Linked DNA regions of Ovis aries. The protein of the gene in region 2 purifies or fractionates together with the protein of the main gene of each other region. This does not show direct contact. Links are inferred from orthologs where the notes say so. Each region holds a gene or a part of one and is shown on either strand. Other genes may lie near its edges.

Region 1 (3,650 bases), on a different chromosome or scaffold from region 2:
CTCTTTGTCCCAAGGGTTCTGACAGGACAATTTTAAGCTCTGGTGTGGGGTCTTTTTCAGGCCTTGTCCAAGGCATCTGGGGCCCTTTTTAATCCAGAGGTTAATGGTCCTAGTGCCGAGAGACTGTCTTGTATTTGTTCATCTCCTCCCTTCAGTTTACTCTGTTCTCTCTGGAATTCTTTCATCCTATGTTGGGCCTCCAGGATTAATCCTCAAATTATCCCACCTTGGTTACTTTCCTCCATCCATTTTCCATCTTCCAAAGTTTGATGAGATTGTTTTATCTTGTCCTCCATTATTTTTTTCCCTTTTTCTTTATCCATGTTGCTTTATTTTGTTTAACCCCTTCACTATTATTTTAGTAGAGTATGAGGAGCAAGCAGAGAAAATAAAAGCAGGCTTAGCAACTGGTACCCCATCTGCAATATTTACATTGTTTTTCTTCTTCCATTTCCCCTGCAGTTTTCATTGTGAAACATTCAAATAATCAGAAAAGACAGAAGAACAGTACAATGGATACCCATATACTTTCTAAAATGGGTGAATGATGCGACTCTTCTGTAATGAATTTTCGAGATTACTGAATTAGAGTTTTTCCAACTTGATGATAATCTGAGACTTCAGGGCTTAGAAGACTGTACCACAGTCTCTGCCCTGCTATCCCCAAAGCCTCTATGTAGGGGTTGTGGAAGACTCCACGGCCCTGCTGTTTTACATCCTAGGAGTCAGTGGCTGTGACCTCCAGCCAGGTACAGCCCTGGGCTCATGCTCTTGCTCAGCTGGCTCTCACAGCACTTATCAAAAAAAGGTCTCAGTCGCTGACTCACTGTACAGACTGCCCTCTGAGAGGTATTAGTGGTTATATCCCTCCTGGGCCCCTGCTGTTGGAACTAATGTTCCCTTCTAAGCAGTTAGTAGACTGAGTTATCCTGTTAGTTCCTCAAAAGAAAGGAAAATACCTGTAACTCCAAAGACAGAGTTTAATCCATCCCTCGAATGGCTCTCTTGAATAGCTACTCAAACACACATTCCACTGAAACTTGTTTTGTAGGGTTCCAGACTCCTCCCAAGTTAGCAGAAAGCACTCCCGCCACTCTGAAAGACCTGAGAGCCTTAATTCTTACTGCCGAAGACCTCAGAACACTTCTAAAATTATTCCCTTGTGTCCTGAGTGGAGAATCCAGGTCCAGTTCTGAAACACTTCACAAGCTCAGATGGGTCTCAGGATGGAAAGCAAGTGTGACAGTCTCCTGGGAAGCCTTCAGAACACATCGACCCTCATGCCCTACCCAAAATCCACTTAACCAATCAAGGGACCTGGAACTCCTCACTGTTTTACAGTCTCCTGCCTGAATGTAGATGTGGTTTTGTGACTTCCCAAGTTATCTTGTTCATTCTTTCAAAAGAAAACTTTTCTCTTCAGGATAATCAGTTTTAAGAGTTTCCATACACCAAAATATATACCCTCCCATAAAAAAACAAAAACAAAAAATAAAAATCAACCTTTCATTGGTGATTCTGATGTTCAGTGCACTTGAGAACCACTGTCCATTTACTATCTTCCGAAGAAAAATTTTCCATGGCCTCTAAGTAACAACCCATTAGTTGGGATTACTTAAAATCCTACTATGTCTTCACTATGTCTTAAGTGAGTGGCAGAGTTTAGGAATAACCTATCTCCCAATTATTTCATCTCTACTCCACTGTTACCCTCCTTAGAAAGCATTAAATATACTAATTATTTTTCCTCACTTGCTCAAAAGTCTTTAACTCCAATGCAGAAATTGTGTGAGATCTATTTCATGTAGCAGTGATGCCAAGATGTCACTGCTACTTCAAAGCTGCTTCAATGTGAGCAGAAATGGTCTCAGGTTGGAAGCAATGGCAGTCATGCTCTGTGAGCCACAGGGCGGGTGGTGGGTGAGCTTGGACACCCTCCTACAGCATTCTTTCAGACACTGGACACCACTTTTGGACAGACCAGGTAACACTTCCTGCCACTGCAGTCACAAAGATGGCATCATGGATCCATCATAAGTCACCTTCATCAGCTGATTCTTATGGCCACAACACAGCAAGTGCTGTTTGAAGTTTTATTTTTAGCCTTGGGCCAAGTCACTCTATGAAGGTGCACAGCTCACCCACCCAGACACCCACCCTGGGCCTGCACCCTGGGAATCCAGCAGCAGACACGAGAACCTTCCTCCCTCACTCCTTTCCCTCTGACAGTGGCACAAGCCCAGTTCTTAGGAAGCACCAGGAAAGGTTGGGGGTTGCAGAAAAGGGAAGAAAAGCAATATGGCATCTCAGCTAACTACTCACTGAAGTCCTCAAAGAAACCCCAAGGCTCAAGTAAGGAGAAATACAGAGTGGTCTTCCAAAGGAAGAAGATGAAGGGCAGCCTTAAACTGAGCCTGGTTACCCTCCCTAGTGGGATTACCCAACCAAATGCTGGCTGATTCTTGGCTGATTCCACTTCACTCTGTGTGGAAAGCTAAAGAATTTGTCAGGGAGTTCAACCTCAAGCGGCCTGTGGTGCAGCACTTGGTCAAGACTGATTGATATGAGGCCAGCGAATCCTTACTGGTCTCAAAGACACATCAGCTGCCCCTCCTCTGCAGTATCCCAGCTGAAAGCCACAGAACAGCCGCCTGTACACTGGTTACCAAACGCTCTGCTGATGTCAAAGGAGGGGCACTTACCCAGAGGGCTGAGGGCAGCCGCCACACTCTCCCCTACATTCTTGAGGAAATTCACACTGGGATCTTCTGATGGACCAGAGGCTTTGGTTTCAAAAAACAAAAGATACTTTTAATTCAAAGCATCTCTCTCAATGACTGAAACCTGTCACAGTCCTGTCTGTCCCAGAAGCCCTACTCCCGGGGCCTGTTCCCAGCAGCCTATACCCTATTGCTTCCCTCTCTCCCCCTCTCTAGGCCACCTCCTAGGCCCCTTTGTCTTTCACACCACTCCCCCTTCATCTACCTTCCTGGTGCCTAGAAACTCTGTACACAGAGTATAATGTATTATTTACCCCTCCCCCGGAAAAAGCATTATTTACTCAAACAAATACCCTCATCTTTGTCACTAAGGACAAGGTGAGTCAAAGGACATAGTAATACTAATAAAATCAGAATAAAACTAGAATCTAAAAGTTCAGAATGCAAGCTATGTGTAAATTTTTAACTTGGGAACTGTTTTACAAGACTTGAGCAAACCTGGCTGTGACTTTCCTAACAATTAGCATGAACAAGAAGAGAGCCGACTGGAGACGCAGGCGCTGGAGGGGCCTCCCACCTGCATGGGAGGGCCACCGGGGCAGGTGCATTAGTGGCCTTGAGCACCGAGGCACTAGTTTTCCCAGATGTACAATGGAGATGATGCTTGCACTTTGCAGGATTTTATGAGGATTAAATGCACAAACGGCCACAAAGTGCCTAGGCCAGCCACAGGCATGCAGGATTTTAGGGCACAGGGAAAGCCCTCCAGCTCTGCAGGCCCTCACATCTCATCCTTCAGAGGCCAGCAGATACAACCCTCACCTGATTCCGTGGCAGGGCCAGGGTGGGCCTCCCCTGCCTGAGGAGGACGTGGGCTCCAGTTCCCCGGTGGGCCCATCTCCCAGCCAGGCCACCCAAAGTGCCCATGTT
Region 2 (3,650 bases):
GGGCTGCAGAGGAGGGAGGCGCTTGGGACACTCAGAGGCTTGTCTGCGGGGTGTCTGTGCTGATGGGTGGCCTCTCCAGAGGGTGGAGTGGTAGGAATGCACTTGGAGAGGCCTCCGGGGGGACCTGGACTGGGGGATTTTCCATGGGGGCCCTGCCAGAATCCCCAGGGGAGACCCCTGCTCCAGGAATTTGGGATGCTCTGCCTCCCCGCATTATTCTCCTATAAAAGGTGTTACGCTGGGAGATCCCAGGGGGGTGAGGAAGGGGAAAGATGTTGAGCCACTGGGACACAGCAGGGAAGGGGTCAAGGGGTCGTGCAGCCAGTTGCACCAGGTGGGGTTGGCCGCTGGCCCTTTGGGGGCAGGTGGGATCCTCCTGGGGATTGGCAGGTTGGCTGGGAGGCCCAGTGGTGGCCGGGGTGGTGGCTTGACCCATGGACGGAGGCCAAGGCCACCTGTGGGCACCATACGTTTTGAGGGGCAGGTGAAAGGTGCTGCGAGGGCGCAGGGCTCTTTGCGCCCCACGTGACAGGAAGCTGATCCCACGGTGGACGGCAGCTTGCTCCTGGTGACCGGCAGGCTGGCTGGGACTCTCAGCGTCGGGGATGGCAGCTTGCTCGGCAGGATGGTGGGGAGGCCAAGCCGAGGGGCGGCATGTGCCATGGGACAGACGAGAGGCCCGGAGGGAGTGGGACGCTCGGCGAGCTCTCGGCGGGGGTTGGATGGATGAGGAAGGAGGCAGGACGGCGGTCTCAGTGGGCTCCGCACGCTTTCCAACACAGAACCTCAGACTGAAGGCTGGCAGGGGCCTCAGGGGCCACCCAGTCCAGCCTTCCACTCTAATTCCGATCCCTTTCACCCCTGGGCAGGTGACAGCCTGGCCTTTATGAACCGCTATGAACAAACCTCCAGGGACAGGAGGGTCACAACCCGTGCGGCCACTTGTCCCACTGTGGGATGGCTTTAAAGGAAGTTCTGCTTACATGGAGTCACAGTGTACTAGTCTGGGGCCTGCGTGGTGCTGCCCTGCACCCTCATACCCCCATGTGGCCCTGCATCACTGCCGTTAACCGGGGAACGGGTGCAGGTCCGCCCCCCTCACTGAGACTTAGGAGGGCAGACAATGCATAAGGAAGCCGCAGACACAGGCATTGGCTAGTCCAGAAAAGATATAGGGCTCTGAAGGGAAGCCCTGTCCAGGCCTTCAGAAAGAGTACGTGTGATTACTGATGGCTCCTACCCTGGTACGATGGGAGGGCTGGGGCGATCCAGGCCACAGCTGGCAATTGGAGACTATCCTCCGGACAGCTCAGGACTCACTGCCTCACTGATAAATCCCCTGGGCGCGAGGTGAGTCTGAGAGTCACCTGCTGGGGCTGTGCCCCTGGGGACCTGGAATGGGGGGAGGCAGTGTCCTGGGTCAGACTTCTGAGCAACTCACCGGGTTTTCAGCATCTGAGTCTTCCGAGCTGCTGATCACCACGACGCGCTCCTCTGAAACGGAGCAGGGGAGACAGGGTTAGGCCCTGCCAGGGCTGCTCGTGGATGGAGCCCAGGGTGTTCTCCTGTGGGAATCCTTGCAGGCCAGTGGGCTGGGTGGGTAACATGTGCCCTGCAAGGGGGCTGTCAACATTCAGCGTGTGTGCCAGCGTGGATCTGCCTGTTTAGTCGCTCAGTTATGTCCGACTCTTTGCAACCCTGTGGACTGTAGCCCGCCAGGCCTCTCTGCCAGTGGAATTCTCCGGGCAAGAATACTGGAGTGGGTTGCTGTGCCTCCCTTCAGGGGACCCCCAATGCAGGGATCGAACCTGCCTCTCTGATGTCTACCTGTGTTGGCAGGCGTGTTCTTTACCACTGGGCCACCTGGGAAGCCAGGATCTGCCTGTACGGAGGGGTTACTCAAGGTGGCTTTCCATCACTGCCTGCTATGCCTTGTCTGTGACGACTTAATTCAGCTACTGGCCCTGGAATGATTCAGAACTGACTACCTGTGGAGGGGGTGTGACAAGCACCACCTGGTTTGGAACCTTTGACCATCCTAAAGCAGCACACTGGTTGTTCCAATTCTCAGCTCTGTGAGCTGAGATGTTTGAGTTAAAAGATACTTTAGGTTTACAAAACCTGATTACCAATAGCATTTGTGAGCGAGGATTCTCCATTGGGGCTGAGTGTATGGCCAGGGTCAGGGTTCAGTGTGACCGGGGACAGGGGTCAGTGTGGGACCTAGAATGAAAACAATGCTGGACACTGGGTAAAAGAGCTCCAGGAAGAACAGTCTTGAACATTCCAGGATTCTGGGGGTTGACCTCCACTCACATGAAAGGACTCCCTGTCTGGCAGTGGCCATAAAAGATACCTTGAGCAAGCGAGATACCTTAGGTGGATGGCCTTCGTAAAAAAAATTTGGGAACCGACGGGTGTGGACTTTACCCAAGTCTTCTCTGAGCATGTGCTAGACACCCACCAACAAACATTGTTTGGGGAGACCCATCCTGTGCAGAGGCATGGTACTGGGTTCAAAAAGGGTGTGTCAGGGGAAGGAGCTAAGGAAATGTGTTCCCCAGGCTATCATGCTCCCTATATGGGCATCCCAGAAAAGCATGGGCTAAACCATCCGCGCTAGCCCCCCCCAGACAAACCCTGGGCTTGCCCTTCCCCATTTGGTGGCAGCTGAGGGCAAGACACACAGGGAATGCTGCTTGCCTTGGGCTTCCTGGGAAGGGCGTGAGGATGCAGAGGAGGGGTCCCACCCAGCCCCTGGAAGACAGCATGCAGGCCTCAGCCCATCCTGCCCATCCCCACTCCCTACCTGTCTCTGCAGGGTCGCCGGTTTGATGGTTGCTTTCAGGCAAGGGGAGCTCATCTCTTATGATGGGGCTCTTGGGGCTGGAGGGCCCATCCAGGTGGGGTGGCGAGACTGCCCTGGAGGTGCTGGGCCTGGGCTGCTCAGGGGAGCTCTGAGCCAACCTAGACTCTTCCCCCTCCTCAGACTCCATCTTGATGACCTTCCGGGGGCACTCGGTCTGGCAGGCCTTCCTCTTCTGCGTGTGGGTGCCCTCCTGTGCAGTGGGGTGTCACAGGGCAGGGTCAGGAGCCTCCAAGGGGACTGGGGCCGTGGGCAGAGACCCAGACCTGAGTGGCAGGAATCTGTTCCCCGCCCCATGCCCTTTGCTCCTCCTGTCCCCTTTGCTATCTGCCGTGCGGATCACACCTCTCTACACAGAGGTCCTCCCAAGTCAGCAGGCACACTGGCCCTGCTGGTGACCACTGACCACCAATCTCTGCTGGCTTCTGACTGCCCTGGGAGGGGCTCCTGCTTGGAGGGAAGCTTCCTAACACGGCAACCAAGAGCTGGGAGAGTGCAGAGTCAGTGCCTATTGAGGTCTGGGTTCTCACTTCCATTCCACCTCTTACCACCTAGTGGGATCCGGGCCCTGGGAAGGGGAGGGGAGGGCTGGGGAATATCTTACTTCTCTGCGGGAGGGGTCTTGGATGGAGAAGGCGTACACTGGCACAGGGTGTGCCCCTGGCACCGGCTGTACCACGGCCAATCCCGCGGCTTGCATCTGGTCCCTCGGCACCTCCTCTGGCTGCAAAGTTGGGACACAAAAGTAGTCAGAAATGACCAGGTAGGGGACTACCCTGGTGGG
Region 3 (3,650 bases), on a different chromosome or scaffold from region 2:
AAGCCCCAGACCCACTGCCATCATAAGCTGAGCAAAGTTCTAAACAAGGGTTTTTAATGCTGATTCCAGCACAGACTCAAAAACATAAACACCTGACTTCACCTCCTCTATGTGTACTTACTTCCAACTGCTGCTAGAAGCTAAGCACAACTTCTTCAGAGTCTGATACTGAATTTCTCATCTACAGGAAGGTCTACATTTTGAGATGTGCAATTTTCTGCCAAGAAAAGTCACTATGCTGAGTTAACAATAACGTACCTGGCTTTCTTAGTTTTCTCAGAGTTTGTCAGGATATTCCAACCTTTCATTACTGGCATGGCACAAGCAGCTACAACCTGGAATTTCAATGGAGAAATCTCTAAGTGTTTGTAATTATACAAATTTTATTTGTAATTATAAGTAATCCAATATATAAAAATATTAAATCATATATCTGAAAACAAGCAAAGAACAGAATATTTTGGAAGATTGAGTTTTTCAGTTTTCATATTTATGATAGTCTGGCACTTTACATTTCTCTTAAAAATAAGACATCATCTTAATTTTATTATAATAATTAATATGATGTTTTAATAAGAGGCTCTGAAACAGAACATCAAATAACTGTTTTGATGAGCAGGCACTACTGAACTAAAATTGCATAAGCCAAAACAGAGTTAAATTGAAAGTGAACCTTTTCACTGCAAGCCTTTTCTCTAGTGAAAAATGGCACAGTACAAGCACTTCCAATGTTGTGTGTCACACAGACATTTGGAAATACTGACTGCTCTAAGAAGGTCTCTTTAATTTCTAAACATTACAATTATATAGGACTTGTACTTATAAAGTACTTTCTTCGATGTGTTTCCAGTTGTGAAATGAAGAGAATCAATCACACAGAAAATAAATTTATAGATATGAGTAAACAGGACCAGACTCTTGGTTACAACAATACTGATTTTAAATAAAGTTTGCTACATAATTTTAAGTTTTCTACCTTCTACAGCATGGTGTGTAATTTTAGGTATTCAGTACCTTAGGAGCTTTCTCAATTTCAACAAGGCACATCCTGCAGTTTCCAGCAACAGACAACCTTTCGTGATAACAGAATCGAGGAATCTGCATGCCAACCTTCTCACAAGCCTAGAAAAGAAAGTAAAAAATATTTGCAGTAGAATAACCTGACCTCATCTGTGTCTTGTCTAAAACACAGGAAAAATAAAACAAACAAAAATCAAACAACAAAAAAATGAGGCCATCCACTACTTATCTAATTACTCCTAACTCCAAATATCTGCGTCTTCATTCTACCTTCATCCTCAAAGAGATTTCCCTCCTTTTCTTTGTTCTTGACTCCAACCTCTGTCTGCTCTGAAGATACCTCTTTAAAGATCCTCACCATGCCTAAAAACTGGATAAAGCATCCTCAGACTGTGTTTGACTACTCACGTCTCCTCTGGACCATTCTCTACAAAGATTCCTCATTCAAACTCTGTCCCAGTGGCTTCACGTCCCTGGAGTTCCTCATTGACTAGCTTTCCTCCTTTAGATTAGACTTCATTTCACACCATCTAGGTGGCTATAATCTGGTTCTGTGTTTGGCCCCATATATCCCACTCAGGACTCCCCACTGTTGGCTAAGGGCTCTTCTCAGTTCCCATTTGCCTAGTGAGGGGGATTAGTTCAGCTCTGCCAATTTTCCCTGCTCCTTCTCTGAGCCTATAAATGCACTTAAATTTCGAGAGTTAGTTATTCCATCCTTAGCCCTCACTCTAAAGCAATCTCATCAATTTTCAATATTTTTTAACAATTTGATAAAAACGCACCAAGTCTTCCTGTGTGCTAGATGCAGTGGGTCCTGTCCCAACCTTTACACTAGCTCATCTTACATACTGATTACATTCGAACCTTCATCTGCAATCCTGACAGTCTTCCACTTCGTGTGCATGTTCTTTAGACAGTTAAAATTCAATCTATTTCCGTCCCCTACGTCTCCAGGGGATCTTCCCCACCCAGGGATCGTACCTGGGTTTCCCGCATTGCAGGCAGATTCTTTACCATCTGAGCCACAGGCAAGCCCTGTCCCCTCCTATATATCCCCAAGTAAGATAACAAAGCCAGAATTCACAAAAACTCCTCTGCTCTTTATCATTCCAAAAGGCCTGTCTATCTACATCTCACTCTCTCATGAATATACCCTTTTGTTTCCATTTCCATTGCCACAATTTTGGGCCTTCTCATTTCCTGCTCCACTAATGCAAGATATACTCTATCCTTGTCTCACTCTAATCTTAATCTCCAAAGCACCATCCTCTACAGTCAATGTCATACTGCTTAGTAGCCATGAAAACTCTTGATGGGCCAAACTACAAGCTCTTTAACATTGCACTGACTATCTTTAATGACTAGATCTTCTCCAACATCACAGTTCTGATTTCCTGCTATCTCCTCTTCTACACATACCTTGTTTCACCAGTACTAAATGACCTGAAGTTTCCTTGTCCACATATAAACATCTATTCATCCTTTAAAAACTTCTCAGGGATCATCTGAGATATTTATGACATCTCTTCTACCACCTCCTATTCATGCCAAAATACTCTCCACTGTACACGGAACATATTTTTGTTATATATTTATTGTTTATATTTCTACGCCTGATGGTGCAAAAGTTACTGCTAAAATGAACAAAGAGTATTTAGCTCTGCAATAATTTACAGTGGAATAAAGCACTACTTCTCCACGACCAATTTTGTTAGTTCTGGAAGAAATTGGAGATATTAAGTGTTTGGGGCATAAATTCAAGAACCTACTACCCTCCATTTACGTGCTTTGTAGGACACCTTCCTAGAAATATTGTTAAAAACAGGAAAGTTACATAAATGTGCATCAAGCAGGCTCACAACAAAGATTACCTTTCTCCCAAACTTACTCATATTAACTAATAATTTATTTCACATAACTTAAAATTTCTAAATAGGAATTTATTTGTAAGGCAGAAGTGAAACAAAAGAATTGCTATAGTTCATTAAGAAAGTCAGAAACAGAAAAGCTCATTCTGATATGCCAAGATTTCAAATCAAAGTTATTTTCATATAATTTTACTATCTACAGTTCTTTAAAGAGCATTTGTCAAGGAATCTTGAAAATTTTAGAAGTAAACAGTATCAAGAAAATAAATTGTTTTTTTTTTTATCAGATTATGCACAAAAATAAAGAATTAAAATTAATGCCTACTTGAAGGACGGTAGTTCCTGGTTCCACCATGACAGACTGACCATCAACAAATACTTCAATCAAGTTGCTTGCTGCTGTGGCAGTTGTTCGAACTGATCATCCAAAACATTGAGGTGAAGATGAAATTAGCAGAGGGTAATGGATTACATAACTAACCTACAGGTCTAAGTTTTTTCCTCATTTTATACTATTCCCTTCTATTTCTCTAGATGCAGACTTTTAAAACAGTGAATTAGAGGAAAGCTTTTCCAATCCTTAATACCAAATGGAATATAGTTGTCTATTTTTAACAGCAGTTTAGGCTGTAACTTTTTTGGCCCTGCTGTGTGGCATGTGTACAATCTTAGTTCCCTACCTGGGATTGAACCGTGCCTCCTGCCACTGTCAGTGTAGAGTCTTAACCATGGGACTGCCAGGAAGTCCCAGTTATAACT

The links. The genes of interacting proteins can lie anywhere in the genome.
Region 1: the proteins of PML (region 2) and SQSTM1 purify together in Homo sapiens (affinity purification with western blotting; 3 studies listed by BioGRID and IntAct, with this or other methods). This does not show direct contact. The link is inferred for Ovis aries from reciprocal best matches to the Homo sapiens genes PML and SQSTM1.
Region 3: the proteins of PML (region 2) and NDUFS1 purify together in Homo sapiens (affinity purification with mass spectrometry; 3 studies listed by BioGRID and IntAct, counting the BioPlex papers as one, with this or other methods). This does not show direct contact. The link is inferred for Ovis aries from reciprocal best matches to the Homo sapiens genes PML and NDUFS1.

The regions. Positions count from the first base shown.
Region 1 is NC_056058.1:1,199,552-1,203,201, forward strand, and holds part of SQSTM1 (sequestosome-1), read right to left. Parts: coding exon 3,543-3,650; intron 2,784-3,542; coding exon 2,703-2,783; intron 1-2,702. UniProt on the Homo sapiens protein: Molecular adapter required for selective macroautophagy (aggrephagy) by acting as a bridge between polyubiquitinated proteins and autophagosomes.
Region 2 is NC_056071.1:32,241,809-32,245,458, forward strand, and holds part of PML (protein PML), read right to left. Parts: intron 3,591-3,650; coding exon 3,471-3,590; intron 3,060-3,470; coding exon 2,810-3,059; intron 1,495-2,809; coding exon 1,442-1,494; intron 770-1,441; coding exon of another isoform or gene 32-769; exon of another isoform or gene 1-31.
Region 3 is NC_056055.1:208,273,674-208,277,323, forward strand, and holds part of NDUFS1 (NADH-ubiquinone oxidoreductase 75 kDa subunit, mitochondrial), read right to left. Parts: intron 3,309-3,650; coding exon 3,217-3,308; intron 1,123-3,216; coding exon 1,015-1,122; intron 336-1,014; coding exon 259-335; intron 1-258.